Linked DNA regions of Neurospora crassa OR74A. The protein of the gene in region 1 purifies or fractionates together with the protein of each later gene. This does not show direct contact. Links are inferred from orthologs where the notes say so. Each region holds a gene or a part of one and is shown on either strand. Other genes may lie near its edges.

Region 1 (4,506 bases):
TCGAATTCGACAGATCAGGGTTCAGTGACATGGCAGACAGATGGAATGAGAAGGGGATTATCCTCATAAGCCTCGTTTCCCAATCGCTGAACCGTATCGCACATACACAAAATCCGTGCACGACGTGATGTGCTCAGCGGCGTGATACCATATCAATTGTAGAGATTCTCATGGTCTTTCCCGTACCTTTGCTGATACGCTGTTGCTAATTCTGGCCCGGGACAGTTCAGTGGGTTTCCAACATCTTGTTTTTGCAATCACTCAATCGGTCTCGTGTTGACAGAAGCCATTAATCGCAGTGACTGCGCATTCGTAGCGCATGTAGTAGTGTTGTGTGTACGAAGTCGGTAGTGTGTGTACGGAATATGGAGATGTTAGCGAGGTAGGCACTACACTACGCAGTACATTGCTTCTTCTTCTTCTTCTGTTCCTGACCCGGAGGTACGGACGAAACGGGGCTCGACACGGCTCCAGCGCAAAAACATGGCCGCGTTGGGATGCCGACTAGCCTTTGCCCAGAGATCCACTCTTTGAGCTAAGTCAGGAGAACCAAGAAACATGAAAACTGGAAACGCTTTTTTTCATTCGACCGACAATGGCTGTTATCGGCTGGCCAAATTTCAAACGGTCAGGATGGGCAGTCTTGGGGTAAAATTCGCCCACCGCCATGTGGCCATCCCCTTGGTGATCGCATGGGATGGGCCGGACTGGAGCGAGGAACTGGAGCAGAAAAGGGCGATTGTCGAAATGCAAAGGGTGATGATGGTGGCCAGTGGTGTCCGCCGTTTTTGTTCCATTCCATGTCATGCCAGGTACGGATGCCACTGGAGGCCAGGCCAGGGGCACACGTCGGGTGGGCGATGGATCAAAATGGATAGAGAGGGTCTCGAAGGGGGTGGGCGATGTTACGCTCTTTCCACCGTCGACGCGGTGCATGAACATGAACAGCAGCCTAGAGTAGCATCCACTCACAATGTTTGGAACTAGGAAGCCAGGCACAGGGCAAGGCAGCCAGTCGCAAAGCAACCTCAAAGGGCAAAGCCGTGTTATCAAAAAAAGAGGTTCAAATAGGACGAAAAGGGTCAATGATGGTCGTACAGGTCGGCATCCAAACGAGGAGGAGGAGTCCATCGTCCCAACTCCCAAGACCGGCAGCCCAGGGTCTGTTGCATTGGCCCACTTGCATGCACGCAACGACCGCCTCTGATTAGCCAGAGTGCCATCGCGGCTGGAGCCCATCTCACCTTGGAGAGTGCGCGGTGGGTCTCTGCTGGGTCGCTGCCCCCGAAATTCACTGATGGAACTGGGACTGGAAATCGGAGTGCCGTCTAGCGTAGTGCCTGTACTGTGCGCCTGCCCGATGCCTGTACGCACTACGCAGTCAGCACCTACGCATCAGTGCTGGAGTGTGCCTGGTCGCCTGGTTTGGGTCTGGTGTGAGAGTGCGCACCATTCCATTTCACTCACATTAACACCGACAAAGCCAACCTCCCATTCCTCCACCAATTCCCCAATCTTTCCCTTCCTTTCGTTTTCCGTTTTCCGGCTCGACAACCTTCCTCCCGCAAACCGCGAATTGCTGAGAGAGTCCAGCAGCAACTCTACTCTTGGCCGCCTACCTCGCGACAATCACCTACCTATCGTATGGTCTTGACGACTTTCTAATTATCGAGCTGCACCCGTCTCTCCCTTTCGCACCAACCGATCCGACGCTCCCCTTCCAATCAAGTGCGGTTGATTGAAGGCCTAATTGCAATTGCGTGGTATACTGCCGGAAAAAAAAAAGTGAGTAGGTTCGCAACATAAGCACTTCATTCAGTCCAGTCCACCGCAAGAGAACGAACGCCTTTGCATCCCATTATCCTCTGGCCTCGTCGTGCTGCCCTCAAAGGCTGTCTGTCCTGTTTGCTGCCCATCAATCGCACCTCACCGAGCGCTGCCATGCCCAACAATCGACACCTTCGAAACTGCATCGACCATCGAGCCTCGATCCGACATTTGTTTGCGGTTTCAATGGGCGCAATGACAGCGACTCCGAGGCTTTTCGGGGGTGGTGGTTCTAGCTCGTTTCTGGAAGGGCACCCGCTATTTTTCGCAGCGGAGACTCCAACTGGACTGCCTCCCGTCCCCCCAGAGACCAGGGGGTTCTCGCCCCCCCTAACACTTACAAATACAAATCGCCTGTCGACGTCCCAGTTCGTCTCAATTATCATCGCTCTGATACTAACCTCAAACTCGTCACCAGACCGTCGATAATAATCCCCGAATAACGAAACAGACACTCTCTATCATTGCTACGAGCTACAACAAGTCGCCAAAATGGGTTGCGGAATGAGTACAGAGGAGAAGGAGGGCAAGGCCCGGAACGAGGAGATTGAGAACCAGCTCAAGAGGGATCGCATGCAACAACGCAATGAGATCAAGATGCTTCTTCTGGGTATGTCATGCCCCCCGACAAGCCAATTGCTGGCGCGGCCCTGGTCCGGACCCTTGGGTCACCAATGAAATTTCACAGAAGCTGACAATATGTTGCAGGTGCTGGTGAATCCGGAAAGTCGACCATCTTGAAGCAGATGAAGCTTATCCACGAAGGAGGTTACTCGCGCGACGAGCGCGAGTCGTTCAAGGAAATCATCTTCAGCAACACTGTGCAGTCCATGCGTGTCATTCTCGAGGCCATGGAGTCCCTAGAGTTGCCACTCGCCGATCAGCGCGTCGAGTACCATGTCCAGACCATCTTCATGCAGCCCGCTCAAATAGAAGGTGACGTGCTGCCTCCTGAGGTTGGCAATGCTATCGAGGCCCTCTGGAGGGACGCTGGCGTCCAGAGCTGCTTTAAGAGGTCAAGGGAATACCAATTGAACGACTCGGCAAGATAGTAAGTCTCCGCATGATGAGGGAGGCTCTGGTCTCCAACCGCTAACATGCTGTCACAGCTACTTCGATAACATCGCTCGTATCGCCGCGCCCGACTATATGCCCAACGACCAGGACGTTCTGCGATCACGTGTCAAGACAACCGGTATTACGGAAACGACCTTCATTATTGGCGATCTTACGTACCGTATGTTCGATGTCGGTGGCCAGCGTAGCGAACGTAAGAAGTGGATCCACTGCTTCGAGAACGTCACCACCATTCTTTTCTTGGTCGCCATTTCCGAGTACGATCAGTTGCTTTTCGAAGATGAAACCGTCAACCGTATGCAGGAGGCCCTTACTCTGTTCGATTCCATCTGCAACTCCAGGTGGTTCATCAAGACATCCATCATTCTTTTCCTCAACAAGATCGATAGGTTTAAGGAGAAGTTGCCGGTCAGCCCGATGAAGAACTACTTCCCCGATTACGAGGGTGGTGATGACTACGCTGCCGCTTGCGACTACATTCTCAACCGCTTCGTCAGTTTGAACCAGCACGAGACCAAGCAGATTTACACGCATTTCACATGCGCGACGGATACCACACAAATTCGTTTCGTCATGGCTGCGGTCAATGGTATGTTATTTGTCTACTTCGAAATTTTGCGTGGACAAGAAGCTAACAGACCAAAACAGATATCATTATCCAGGAGAACCTGCGTCTCTGCGGTTTGATTTGAGCACTGAACGCAATCTTTCTAATTTTTTCATCAGTTAATGGGGCTGTGAGGTCCGGACAAGCGGTTGATACCGATCAGAACTTCGAGTATTGCCGCCCAGTCGCTGCCGCTGGCTCCATGCCCACAGTTTCTGCCTCCAGATTATGATCTAGTGGAGGTGGCGTGGGCTTTCGAGTGGATATGAGCTCTACATACACCTCGGGGCGTCCCTGGAGAAATTGCATTTGAGAAGCATCATCAAGAGGGGGGCTAACTATTTTGTTTAATCATGATTCCCCATCGACCTTGGAGTCTTTGCTCTCTATCGGTGTTCTGTACGATTTCTTTTTTTTCTATCATCTTTTCTATCCCCTCTGATCCGGGCGCTTTTCACCTTGCTCTTTCTCCTCAGGGACACCGCGGCTGCTACGGGAAGCAAAAGCCCCTCTCAACAAAAGAAATGGATGATTTTGGCGTGCGTGCTTTTCTCAATCTTACTCGGGTGTTTTTCCATGAGTGGTGTGGGAGAAAGTAATGGGATCCAAGCCCATGGGTTCTGGGGAGAGGATGCTGGAAACAAATAGGTCGCTACCGATTGGAGGGAAGGTAGAGAAGGGAAAGGCGAAGAAAGAGCAGGGGTTACCAAAACCACGACGGACGAAGAGATGAGCGACGCCCGTTTCGTTCCGCTATTCTCCCCTCTGTGGCTGTAAGAGGGCAAAGAAAAACAGAGGGCGGGAAACGTTGCGGCGCGCGCGCGCGTGCAGCAAACGATATACCAAGACAAGCGAGGTCTCTTTTCCTTTTTTTTACTCTACTTCTTCTGTTTTTTCCAAGAAAGCTTATTCGCGTGATGTGTTATCTTTGTTTTTGCAGGCGGCGTGGGAGAGGGGAGCAATGGCGGTCCCGGTTTCCTATGGGCAACGCAACG
Region 2 (3,821 bases), about 760 kb from region 1:
CCCGCCTTGACCGATGACGGACCGTCGGCGGTCTTGCCAAGCTTTCTCACGGCTGTCATCGACGAAATTGCACTTTGAGGCTTAGTTGGAACTTGGAACAGAATCGTGGTGCGAACTTCGGTCGAGTATTGAGAAGATAATCCCCAGTAAGAACATATATCCTCCTAAAAGGCATATGATATCGCTGCTTGAACTGCTAGAGTGGCTGCAAACTCTTCTCCTGTAGCTGAATGCACACCAGCAACTGCATAGGACTTCACGGTCTGTGATTACTGTAGTGTACATACATACATACATACATACATGCAGAAACAGGAGGCTCTCCTCTGTACCCTCGTCGTCCCACCCAGAGCGTTCAAGCTCGCGTCCATCATCGGTCGGAGCAAGTGGGCACCCACCCAATGGCGCCATTCCCAATCCCGTCCGGAGATGCCTGCTGAGCCGGGGTGGTTCCGCTAGACCATCAAAGGGGGGACGATAAAGTGGGGGCGGAACCCGTCGTGTTCTGACTGCCCTGCATTTGCCATTCTTGCTGCAGCTTTCATGCACAGCAGCACCGACAGATCCAAAAAAGGTCCCGTCGGTTGGTCGGACTAGTCCTGTCCCTGCCTATCCAGCGGCGGTGGCAGCAGTCCATCTTCAACGGCCTCCATCGTGCTTTTCTTTTCCTAGATCTTGACCTCCAGTCCCGCTTCCAGAAGCTTGCAACAATGTCAATCACAATGGCACGGATGGGGCAGGACAATAGGGAGGCCGGCACCTCATCCTGAATGCGGAGCTCGTGGTGATACTTGCTATCTTGTCTTGATACTAACTCGTCTGCACCCATTCCGTCTACGGTCGTAGTTAGTGTCGAGTTAATCTAACCAAACCCTGCTAAGCGACCCCCTGGTCCGTCTCATTTGCACTTGGCCCTTTTTTTCCTCGTCGCCCTGGGTTGCTTTGGCTGCCCAGAAGAGGAGTGCAGCACCGAAAGCGACCAGCATTGCAGCAGTGCAAGTGCAGGTAAAAGCGCAGCACTGCAGCAGGCCAAGCAGGGGGAGACTGGGGCGTCCATGCCTGCTGGGGAATTGCACGGACTGCACCCGCCTACCGAACCGTTCCCTGCTGCGCTGCTACTGGTTCTACAGGCTGCGCACTGACCCCCGTCGCGGTCCGGGGCCCGCCAGTGGCACTGAAGGAATGAAGGAACTTCCATATGGGCGCCCCTTCTCTTCCCAAGACTTGCTATTAGGAATCGTCAATCGTGTGTCGGTCCTAAGCATTCCTGGCATCGTTGTCCGCAATTCCTCCCTCTCTTCAATCCTCGGGACAGTCAATGATCCATTTGCGCCTTCTCCGACCCTTCGCTTAACCCAACTATCGACTGTCGACATCATCACCTTTTCCCCGTTGCGTGCCAGGAGGTTGCCCTTTACCAAGAGTATCTGGTATGTATTCGCGATTTCTGATCGTTCCCTCTGCTTGCCGCAATTTTTCCAATTGCTCCATCGCGGCCGTCGCCCTTCATTTTTCACGTCTGGCACCTCCGTCCGTCCCCTTCGTGGCCGCCTAATCGCCAGCCGTCAGTAGCAAGGACAGAGGACCGCCGGGGGAGAAGTCCGAACTCCAACTCTTTTTCCATCTCGCCCTCACCCCCCCGACACGAGCAAGCATCAGCGCGACCCCGACCACCGACTGGAGTGAATGAATGGCGATTGACGACGACATCTGAACAACACGGCTGACACGACATGTCTAAACAGCTTAATTCCTATCGTTAAAGACCCACAGCACCACCGACCCCGAGTTCTACTTGCGACCCTTCCTCACCACCAAGCCTGTCCGAACTACTAGTTGTCGGCTTTTGTCGCAGCACCATTGTCGCCCACGTCCCCGACGACACTCCAACACTCCTTTAATTCCCACCCTGGAGTCGAGGCTTCGATAATATCAGCCAAAATGCCTCAGTACGCCTCTCGCGATGTCGGCGACCCGTCGCAAATCAAGAAGAACAAGCAAAGCATGGCCGATCTAAAACTCCGTCGATTGACCGAACTCAACAACCGACTACGTGAGGACTTGGAAAGGGAGAGGATTCCGGTTAGCCAGGCAGCCAAGAGGTGAGAACTGCCATTCGTTGTTGCTCGGGTCGTTCGGCAACATGTGCCGGTCGTGGTTCAATGAGGCTGACAGTCGTTTCTTTTCCCCTATATAGCATAATCACCTACTGCAACAGCACACGAGACTACATGGTACCAAGTGTTTGGGGGCCGGTGCCCAAGTCCGAAGACCCGTATTTGCCACAACAGAGCAGCGGGTGCTGCGTCGTCATGTAAATTGCCAACTGCGAAAAGCTACGACATCAATGCGGCGACAAAAGGGGAGGACATTCGAGTCACTCTGTTTAGCACGGGCGATCAGTTCAGCGTTTCGAAACAGCGATTCCTACGAAAGTCTTTTGGAGGGGCGGACACCGTCGTTTGCAAGCGGGATTGGATCCGGACGGAGTTGGTTTGGAAGGCCGAGAACGTTATCGGAGATTATGAGCGATCAGATGTGCATCATCGGGACGGAAAGAAGTCGGCATTGTTTGCGGTTCGTCCTTTTCGCCGCCATTATCACGATACGTCAAACCGGGGAGAAAGGTTTTGAGGAGTGAAGACACGACGGCTGGCCTGACCATAATGCTTATTCAAATACCCCCCATCCGTTACTTCGGATCTACGGCAGGCAGGCTCGGCAGACTCTTCAGCATGTAATACCTTTTTATTTTTCTATATTTTCTTTCCCTTTTTTTTGCTTCTTATTCCCCGGTTGTACTCTTTTATACTCGGCCTTCTCGATTCCCTTTTTTGTCTTTTACATGTGTATATCCTGCTTCATGAAGCGCTTTTCGCGCGGCTTCCTCTTCTGGGTCTGGAAAGGAAGGGGCTTACGACATGATAAGTGAGGCAAATGAAATGCACTAGACTATCGATTTTACTCAAACTGATGATATTTGAATGAATGCATCAAAATAGCTCCAGTTTCCTCATCAACGGAATTTGATATCCTATGTGATGGATTGCTGCAGTTGGGTCGAGAGATAGACATTGAAAAATGTCTCTATCAGTGCACTTAACGGTTGGTAAATCCTCACATAGTAGTAATCCATTTTGGGGATCTCGCACTGGTTGTTGATGAACTCATGTTTAGTTCGGAGGCGTGATGACGCACAGGCGATTCGGGGTGCGGAACCCATCCGATGGAGCTGAGTAGGTATGTACAGCTCCAGGATTTAGCCGTTTCTCGTGTGGACTTCCCTCCAAATCACATGAACTCCCACTTACACGCCGCCACCTAAAACCGACCAGAGTGAGAAAAACACGCAAAGTCCATAACAATCAAGAGGCCTCCATCTACGCGAATATATATACATGTACATCACTCTCATTCTTGACATAGCATTTCCCAGTACACACAAGGATAATGGACCAATCTCCTACTACTACCAGTGCCTCGACTCCAACTTTACTTCCTCGTGTTACCATCCGCTTTTGTACGCAGTGCAAGTGGATGCTTAGGGCAGCATATGTGAGTAGAAAGTTTCCTGAAGATATCAAGTACTTTTCAGACGCTTCGAGTCTCGCCACTGTCATCTATTCACCGTCTCGGAAGAGGGTTTCTGAATTCCCTAACCCCCACCTCACCCTCCCACTTCACCTATACCATTCATCATCCACACTTTCACCAATCGCGTTCCCGTTAAATACACATGAATCACATGAACCTCAGCTACATCTCCAAAAATTCTAACCCCCCTTCTCAAATACAGTACGCCCAAGAACTCCTCTCAACCT

The links.
Region 2: the proteins of gna-1 (region 1) and gng-1 purify together in Saccharomyces cerevisiae (affinity purification with western blotting; 3 studies listed by BioGRID, with this or other methods). This does not show direct contact. The link is inferred for Neurospora crassa OR74A from reciprocal best matches to the Saccharomyces cerevisiae genes GPA1 and STE18.

Annotation. Positions count from the first base shown.
Region 1 is NC_026503.1:1,614,143-1,618,648, reverse strand, and holds the start of gna-1 (heterotrimeric G protein), read left to right. Parts: upstream 1-1,391; 5' UTR 1,392-1,785; intron 1,786-2,245; 5' UTR 2,246-2,319; coding exon 2,320-2,437; intron 2,438-2,535; coding exon 2,536-2,878; intron 2,879-2,936; coding exon 2,937-3,493; intron 3,494-3,552; coding exon 3,553-3,596; 3' UTR 3,597-4,506. UniProt on the Saccharomyces cerevisiae protein: Alpha subunit of the heterotrimeric guanine nucleotide-binding protein (G protein) that mediates mating pheromone signal transduction.
Region 2 is NC_026503.1:2,378,124-2,381,944, forward strand, and holds gng-1 (guanine nucleotide-binding protein subunit gamma), read left to right. Parts: upstream 1-1,250; 5' UTR 1,251-1,430; intron 1,431-1,745; 5' UTR 1,746-1,941; coding exon 1,942-2,102; intron 2,103-2,197; coding exon 2,198-2,318; 3' UTR 2,319-3,006; downstream 3,007-3,821. Other genes in the region: NCU00042 (selenoprotein domain-containing protein), read left to right, coding at 3,451-3,555, 3,797-3,821. UniProt on the Saccharomyces cerevisiae protein: Implicated in the pheromone A- and alpha-factor response pathway. The beta and gamma chains of the putative yeast mating response pathway G protein play a positive role in initiation of the mating response.